Linked DNA regions of Canis lupus familiaris. The protein of the gene in region 1 purifies or fractionates together with the protein of each later gene. This does not show direct contact. Links are inferred from orthologs where the notes say so. Each region holds a gene or a part of one and is shown on either strand. Other genes may lie near its edges.

The links. The genes of interacting proteins can lie anywhere in the genome.
Region 2: the proteins of CDK5RAP2 (region 1) and PDE4DIPP2 purify together in Homo sapiens (affinity purification with mass spectrometry; 3 studies listed by BioGRID and IntAct, counting the BioPlex papers as one, with this or other methods). This does not show direct contact. The link is inferred for Canis lupus familiaris from reciprocal best matches to the Homo sapiens genes CDK5RAP2 and PDE4DIP.

The regions. Positions count from the first base shown.
Region 1 is NC_049232.1:73,962,065-73,965,743, forward strand, and holds the end of CDK5RAP2 (CDK5 regulatory subunit-associated protein 2), read right to left. Parts: intron 1,079-3,679; coding exon 1,032-1,078; intron 668-1,031; coding exon 611-667; 3' UTR 571-610; downstream 1-570. UniProt on the Homo sapiens protein: Potential regulator of CDK5 activity via its interaction with CDK5R1. Negative regulator of centriole disengagement (licensing) which maintains centriole engagement and cohesion. Involved in regulation of mitotic spindle orientation.
Region 2 is NC_049238.1:57,721,579-57,725,630, reverse strand, and holds the start of PDE4DIPP2 (myomegalin), read right to left. Parts: upstream 2,875-4,052; 5' UTR 2,860-2,874; coding exon 2,453-2,859; intron 1-2,452. UniProt on the Homo sapiens protein: Functions as an anchor sequestering components of the cAMP-dependent pathway to Golgi and/or centrosomes.

The DNA of each region.
Region 1 (3,679 bases):
GTGCCGAGGGCTGAGCCCCACCGCGCTCACTGCTCGGGGACAGCGAGCAGCTCAGGACAAGGACGGGCCAGTCACACACAGAGGCTGCGGCCAACACGGGGCAGTGTAGGGACAGTGGGCTGGAGAGGCCGCCGCCCCCCGGGGACACCGTGACGAGTCTCCACGCCGGGCCTCACGTGGACCCTTCGTCCTAGGAGGCCATTGGGGCCTGCCCGGAGGTGATGCGCCCCCTGCGCAGGCCGGATGCAGGCACCGCCCGGCCACCCCACTCCTCGCCGGCCACGTGACTGGCCGACACCCCGGCCGCCCCCGCGGCTCAGGCCCGGGGCTCCAGGCGCTGCTGGGAATGAGCGCACCGCGGGGTTGCAGGGCCCCACGAGGACCTTGAGGCTGCAGAGCGGCTGAGCGCCGCGGGTGGGGCGGCCCGAGGCCCAGTGCGGAGCCCGACGGCACCCGAACGCCGGTGACGAGCCCCCTGAGGCCGGCCGCGGGACAGACGCCGCGAGGGGAGGCAGAGTCCTGCAGCCAGCGCCCGGGACCTGGAACCCACCCGGGGAACAAGCCACAGCGTCCGCTCGGCGGGAACCACAAGCTTTATTGGCAGGAGGTCTCAGGAGCCCGGTCGGCTGGGGCTGGACGTTCCAGGGTGGGCGCCCCCGGGCCTCAGCTGCGAAAAGGAGGAGAAAAGGAGAGTTTTAGGTCCAGCAGAGGGCTTCTGAGGCCGAGTGAACGCGCTTTCAGGGACACGCTGTTGGAGCAGGCAGCGCTCTCGGCACCAGCGGCAGCGACGCCTGCCATGCTCCCTCCTCTGAGGCGTGTGCCGTCCTCCCGGGGGGATCAGCAGCGCGACCGCGACCACCACCCCAGGCCTGAGCCGCGCCACCACGTGAAACTGTGCTGCCGGCGGAAAACAGCTGCTGGTGCAGGACTCGCACCTGGTCCCCTTTGGCCCCCGGTTCCTGACGAGGTCATCTGCTGGCCGGTGCCCCCGCCCCGGGCCCCCTTCCCTAAGGGACCCCGGGGGGCATTACCTCCAGGTTCCCTCTGGCCTTCCGAAGGACTTTGTGGGTTATGACCACTGAGGAGAGAGAGAGAGAGAGAGAGAGGGACGGTCAGACGGGTGCCCCGGGCGTCAGGCCCCCTGCGGACAAGCCTGGGGCGCCCAGACCGGAGGCGGAGGCGGGTGTGGGAGGCTCCACCCATCACGCGCGCCGAGACCACGTCGCCCACTGGGCCAGAGGCGCCTCCGCGAGTTCGTGCGAGGCCAGGACATCGCGGGTACCGGCCCGCTGCGGGCTCAGCAAGGCCTGCGGGCACCCGGGGACCCGGGTCACCCCTACGGGTTTGGGCGACGGTGCAGCGCAGGGCCCGTGGCTGACTCTGAGAAAACCCGTGCGCTAAGGGCCACGGCGAGGGCCGCAGAGGCAGGTCCCAGCGCAGAGCGGACGTGAATCTGCGCAAGGCCATGACCTTTGGGCCCTTTCTCCTTGGGCCCTGCAGCTGCTAGAACCCGACACACTCCCGGGATGCACTGTGGAGGGGCCCCAGGCCGCGGGTGCCACCTCCGCCCCAGACCCTCTTCTCGCCCAACACAGCCACCCCCCGGCCACTGGGAAGCCGCCCCTGCCGGGAACCCGGAATCCTGCCGTCCGGGTCCCCGAGACACCCTCAGGGCGGGACCACGCACGGCCTGGGGAAACGCTGGATTCCGGCCCGAGGAAACACATCTCCCGAGTGACGGTGTTGGCGAATCTGAGACACTGGGGCGGTGGGCGCTTGTTCAACCGGCCAGCCCTGCCTCCAGAGGGGCCACCGCCTGCGCCCCTGCAACCCCGCGAACCCTCGCCGCGGGCAGGGGCTGCTCCTCTCAGGACTCGCCCCACCGGGGACGTGGGGGGGGCAGAGCCCGGCCCTGGGGTCACGGCCCCTCCCCGGTGGGCTGTGGCCGAGGCCTGGAGGTAGACAGGGTGACACCGAGTTAGCGGCCACCCGCCACACACGGACCCCGTGCAAGCTCGGGAAGGGGGCCGAGACACCGGCCGTGTCTGTCGGGCACGTGCACCGCGGGGTCTGGGTGTCACCATCCGTCCGGACGAGAAGCGGGCAGTTCTTACAGAGTCGTGGTCAGGACCCAGGCCGGGGCAGCCGAGGCCTCCCAGCGACCCCCGCGTGTCGGGGACAGGACTCCGCAGCTCAGGAGGGAACGTCACTTACTGCAGGTCACACGGGGAGAGACCTGCACTGCGCTCGTTAACGGCACCAGGGTTGTGGCGAAGGGCCCAGGCCGGGCTCGGTGCTCTGGATCCCGGGAGCCCGCCCCTGACCCCGGCCAGCAGGTGCGTTAGCCCCGTGCGCCCGGACACAGGCCGCCGCAGTCCTAGGCCCCGGGGCCACTTCCACCCCCACCCCCGGGGTCTGGCCAAGGGCTCCACCACGGGTGCTCCACGATGGGTGCCGCCCCAGACGCCCGCCAGGCTCCTCAGGACACGCGTGCCGTGGGGCCCAGCCAGCGCCCAGGCCAGCCAGCACCCACGGGGCGGCCTCCGACCTCCTGCCACCATGAGGACGCCCCGCCTCCTGTGCCTCCTGGCCGTTCCCCCCCCCAGCCGCGGGGACCCTCCGAGACAGAGGGACTGCACCAGCCCGTGCCCTGCCCCCCACCCCCCTGCCCCGGTCCCACCAGGCGACTTGGCTTTGTCTCTCAGCAGGCCCCTTGGCACATCCTGAGTATGTTCCTGGCTCACCCCGAGGCCACCTGCCGCCATCTGTGCCCGCCCGCTCGCCCACGCCAACCCGCCCCTCCGGACCCGCGCAGTCGGACCCCAGGACATGGCCCTGCAGCCGGCTCTCATGTCAGCCCTGAAGCCAAGGCCCTGTGCTGGAGGGCGGCCCCCTCGCCTCTGTGCCAGGCCCGGCACGGGGCACGGAGCACAAAGTGAGTGCCCGCTGCACGACCCGGCGTCCAACCCTGCCAGGGTCACGGAGTCGGCTTCCAGAAGGTTCTGGGGGACAGCTGAGGGGAACCATGCCCACCAGCAGTCTATGCCCTGGGCTTCTCAGAAATGCCCCGAAACACCGGCCCCCGACAGGAGCGGCACAGGCAGCCTGGTGCCCCCGGAGCCGCGAGGGGCCACCACACAGCGAGTGGGCCCGGGCCGAGGTGGCCCACGGCTTCTCCGGGCACAGGGAGCGGCGGCCCACCACCCCGGCTCCCGGCAGGGACAGCGCTCGCCTTACCAGTGTCCCGTAGCCTCTCGGAGCCCGAGTCCCGGGTCCGCCTTTGAAGTATTTCTCAAGACCAGCCGGTCCCCCAGTCCCCCGGCCGGGGCCCTCCTCCTGGCCTGGCCGGGGGACCGGGGGCAGCCGAGCAGGCCCTTCCCGCACGCCAGCACCGCGGGGCTGCTCCCCGACGCCTCTCACGACGCAGTCCTGGCCAGTGACCCCCCCACCCGCCGCGCGGACCGCTCGAGGCTTCTCCCAGACATAGCCTGACGTGCTGCCCGTCGGCCCGTGTCCACGCCGCCCCCTCCGTCTGACCAACACCGCCCCTTCCGCGGGCTCCGCCCAGCTGTCCCTCTGTCCAAGAAGCCCACGCCCCCCCCACTTCCCTGCCCCTGTTCCCTACCACCCCGGCCAAGGTCACGTCAAGGTCCCGGTCAAGGCAGATGCCAGGCACCCG
Region 2 (4,052 bases), on another chromosome or scaffold:
TGACAGAAAAATTGAACATCCAAAACACCCCTTCCCAAGCACAAGCCTCTACCACTCAGAAACTGCAAGTACTATAGATAAGACAGGTATGTTTTTGAAAGTAAAGGGGTGCCCCTCTGGCTCGTGGGTGAACATGAAACTCTTGATCTCAAGCCCCACTTTCAGTTGGTGTGGAGCCTATTTAAAAATAAATAAATAAATAAACAAACAAATAAATAAATAAATGCTACACATTCCTAGAGAACTGATTTTTTTTTTAAATAGAGAATGCATGTGTGCATGAGCGTGCAAGCAGGGAGGGGCAGACGTAGAAAGAGAGAATCCCAAGCAGGTTCGACACTCATTGCAGAGCCAACATATGGCTCAAACTCACAACCCTGGGATGATGACCTGAGCTGAAATCATAAGTTGGAGGCTTAACCAACTGAGCCACTCAGGCACTCAAGAACTGATTTTTAAATGAGGGCCAGAGTAGCAGCAACCTCAGTGAAGTTCCTGACACTGCTTCATTTGGGAATTCCTGAAATGTTTAAAAACGTTTCAAGGCTCATCATTATATCAACTAAGATGTAGAGATTTGCCAGATGAATAACCATTAGGGAAATAATGAAAGTGTGCTATCTATTTTAACAATTAAAACACAACTAGAGAACCCTATAAACTTTTTGTTACCAAAGACAGTATGAAAAGTCACATTTTTATAAAAGGAGTCTTGATCTATTTTAAATTTTGCAATAGCAATGCTCCTTTTTATGAAAATAATTCACTCCAGTATGTATAAAACAGTTAAGAAGACTTTAAATTATAAATACATATTCACATGATTTTTTTTAAATTTCAAGCTTTAAAAAAATCCAAAGTAGTCTGTGAAAAATATTCAACACCACAGAGATACATTTAAGAAAAAGTAATTGTTTAGACTAAAATTCCACATTCTAAAAAAATCAAATAATGAGTGCTTCTTGCCTCCTTCCTTCTTTTTTAAAGTTATACTTTAAGGATTTTATTTATTTGAGAGAGAGAGAGAGAGAATGAGTATGGGGGAATGGAAGAGGGAGAGGGAGAGGGAGAAGAAGATTCAGCCCTATGTGGGGCTCCATCCCAGGACCACAGGATCATGACCTGACCCTCCTAGGTGCTCCCTCTTTTTTAAGTTTTTATTTTAATTCCAGTTAATGAATAGTGTTATATTAGTTTTAGGTGCTGCCTCATTCCTTCTTAAAAGCAGTCATCTTTTTATGAGTTTCTTAATAGAAATGATTCCTTTCTAGAAATAGAAATAGATTCCTTTAAGCACTGTTAACTAAATGTCTTTGACTCCTTTTTCTCACAGTGGACAGTATGATGAATAAATACAATTAAGTGTGAATAAACTAGTTTCTCAGTTCACAAATAAAGCCTAGTCCTGAACACAGAAAGCAGTTTCCATTAATATCTAGTTCTGTAGTTAATCCTCAAAAGATCGAAACTGTGATTTTTTAAGCATAGGAAACGAGGCCTAGGGAAATCAAGCTCCTTTTTTTCACATCCTAGTTAGTTAACGGTAGCTTAGAGACTGAAGACACTCTTGCCTTGTAGTCTGATTTATGAGTACTGGGTTCCCATAAAAGAATAAGCTAAAAATGCCAAGACAAAGAAACGCTTATTTCAAAAATGGCCAATAGCACAATCTGTCTCTCCTCCCAAAACTCATATGCATGGCAGATTTTTGTGCTGCTAATGCTACATGAAGAAAATGTAGGCCTAATCTGTCCAGTCTTCCATCTCAGTGCAAAGGAAGGGGCTGAATTTAAGTGGAGCTTGTTCTGTACGGCCTCATCCGGCCAACAGGCAGAGCTCCAGCTCCCTCGGGCTCCGCAGGGGAAGAGAGCCCAGAAAGAAAGAACCATCACCAAACCCCACCCTGCTATATCTTAGGTAAATAAAAACCACGTAAATTAAAAAAACAAAAACAAAAAAAAGAGGGTGTAAGAGCAAGCAATGGGTGCTCCTTCAACGGTACACCCGTGCACATTTCCTGATCCTCTATCTCCTTTTGCTCGGTGTCCCTAATGCTTCCACCCTGGCATGGCTTCTGCATCCTGTGTTGATCTCTCCTTTGACTCGACCCAGTAGGTATGGCCTTCAACTTCATGGGCACCGACAGAGCGGGTGTCAAGACCTGGGAGAGAGACGCGTTTCCCAAGCCTTAGTCCAGCACAATCCAGCAGCACATCTTTATTTCTAGGCAACTTCCCCACCGCTCTTCCCCCCTCTCCCCCGCCACCAGCGCATCGGCCCCCCAAGACCTCCTCCTGGGTGTCCTCCGACCCCGTCCAAGCTGCTGTGAGTCGGCGCCCATCCCTCCCGGGCGCGGGATAGCCGGGCCCTGGGTCCCAGCCCCGCGCCCCGCGCCCCGCGCCCCGCGCCCCGCGCCCGCGCCGCCACCCCCCGGCTCCCGCAGCGCTCTCACCTCATCCAGGGTGCGGCGGCCGCCGCTGCCTCTTCCTCCTCGGCCGCCGCCGCCCAGCTGCCGGCCGCCTCGGGATGCCGTCGCTCCCGGCCCGGAGACTGCAGAGAGGGCTGCGGGGCTCGCGCCGCGTCCCCGGACCGGTAAGGCGCGAGGTGCGCGGGGCAGCGGCGGCGACAGCAGGACCCACCGTCCGCCCTCTTCATGGATTTCCCGGGCCCGACCGCGGTCCTCCTGGCCTCGGTCTTCCTACGGTCCTCCCGCGCCGCCCGGGAGCATCCTCCAGACGTGATGGTGGCGGAAACCTGCAAGGGCCAGGCCTCTTCCGCGGCTGCCTCTGCCACCTGCTCCGCCCAGACTGCTTCGGGGCCTCGCGCACAAACACCGCCGCAGCCTCCTCGCCCTCTCATCAACCCATTCTCTCTCCACCCACTACCTCAATCTGCAAACCTTTTCATCCCCGATAGCACTCCTTTTTGTCTTCCAATCTCCTCCAAGGTCACTGTCCTCAATTTCCCACCTTAAATGTTTCTCTTTTTCTCACGCCCTCTCCCTGTGATTTCCTGGGTTTTGCCTTCCTCCTCCCTCCAACTCAGTCATCTTTCTTTGCTCAGAGTCACTATTTTTCCAGGCCCCTGGCTAACCCCATTTCTCCTGCTTTCCCTCTTTTTCCCTCTTAAAATCTTTTTTTCCCTCTCAATTTTCCCTTTTGTTGTTGTAAAAACAAACAAACAAAACCTTTCCCCCAGAAAAAACACAGTTTTTCTTTCTTTCCCTTGAGACTCTGATTTCCATTTTTCATAAAGAACTCAAAGTATAGATCACTTGATCTCCAATATCAAGTCAAGGGGATGTATTCATGGTTTTAAAAAAGTTCGTAGGTCAAATAAATCCTCCACTTAATGTTCTTTCTGAAAAGCCCTTTCTTATATCCCAGTGTCCTCTAACAACAGAAGCTATTCAGAATCTAGCAGAGCGAAATGCTTCTGCTGCACTATATACTCACGGCTTGCAACAGAGGTTCATCTTGGTAGTAGGCACCATGGATCTCAAAGTTTACAGGCAAAAGTCAATATGGACTGTTGATGGATTCAGTGTAAACAAAGAAACTCATTCTTAACACATTTTCCTCCCAAACCTGCTGTTCAGTCCTCCCCCCCCCCCCTTTTTTTAACCCAATACTATCATTCACCTGGGCACGGTCAGAGACTTATCTCTCTCACTCATTCGCCTCATCCAGTCTTTAATTCTACTTCTTTACTATTTCTTTGAGTGTTCCCTCCAATCAGGATTCCAAATGTTTCCAGAAAATGGCACTATCAGGTATCTCACCATTCGTTCTTTCAAACCTCCCAGCTTAATCTGTCTTTACCTCTGTTTTCCCTTCAACCTATCTTACCTGGGCAATTTACCCTACCATTCCCATCTCTGCTAGAGACTCTTAATTATCTTCTGTTGTCTTTATATCTTTGGCATCACTTTCTCCATTAAGTCCACCCCTCTGCTATAAACATCCCCAAGTCTCCTCATGCCTAAAATAGAGTCCTCCCACCTCAACCTCTAACCACCATCATCTCTGGCTTCCCTTCATAACCAACTTGCT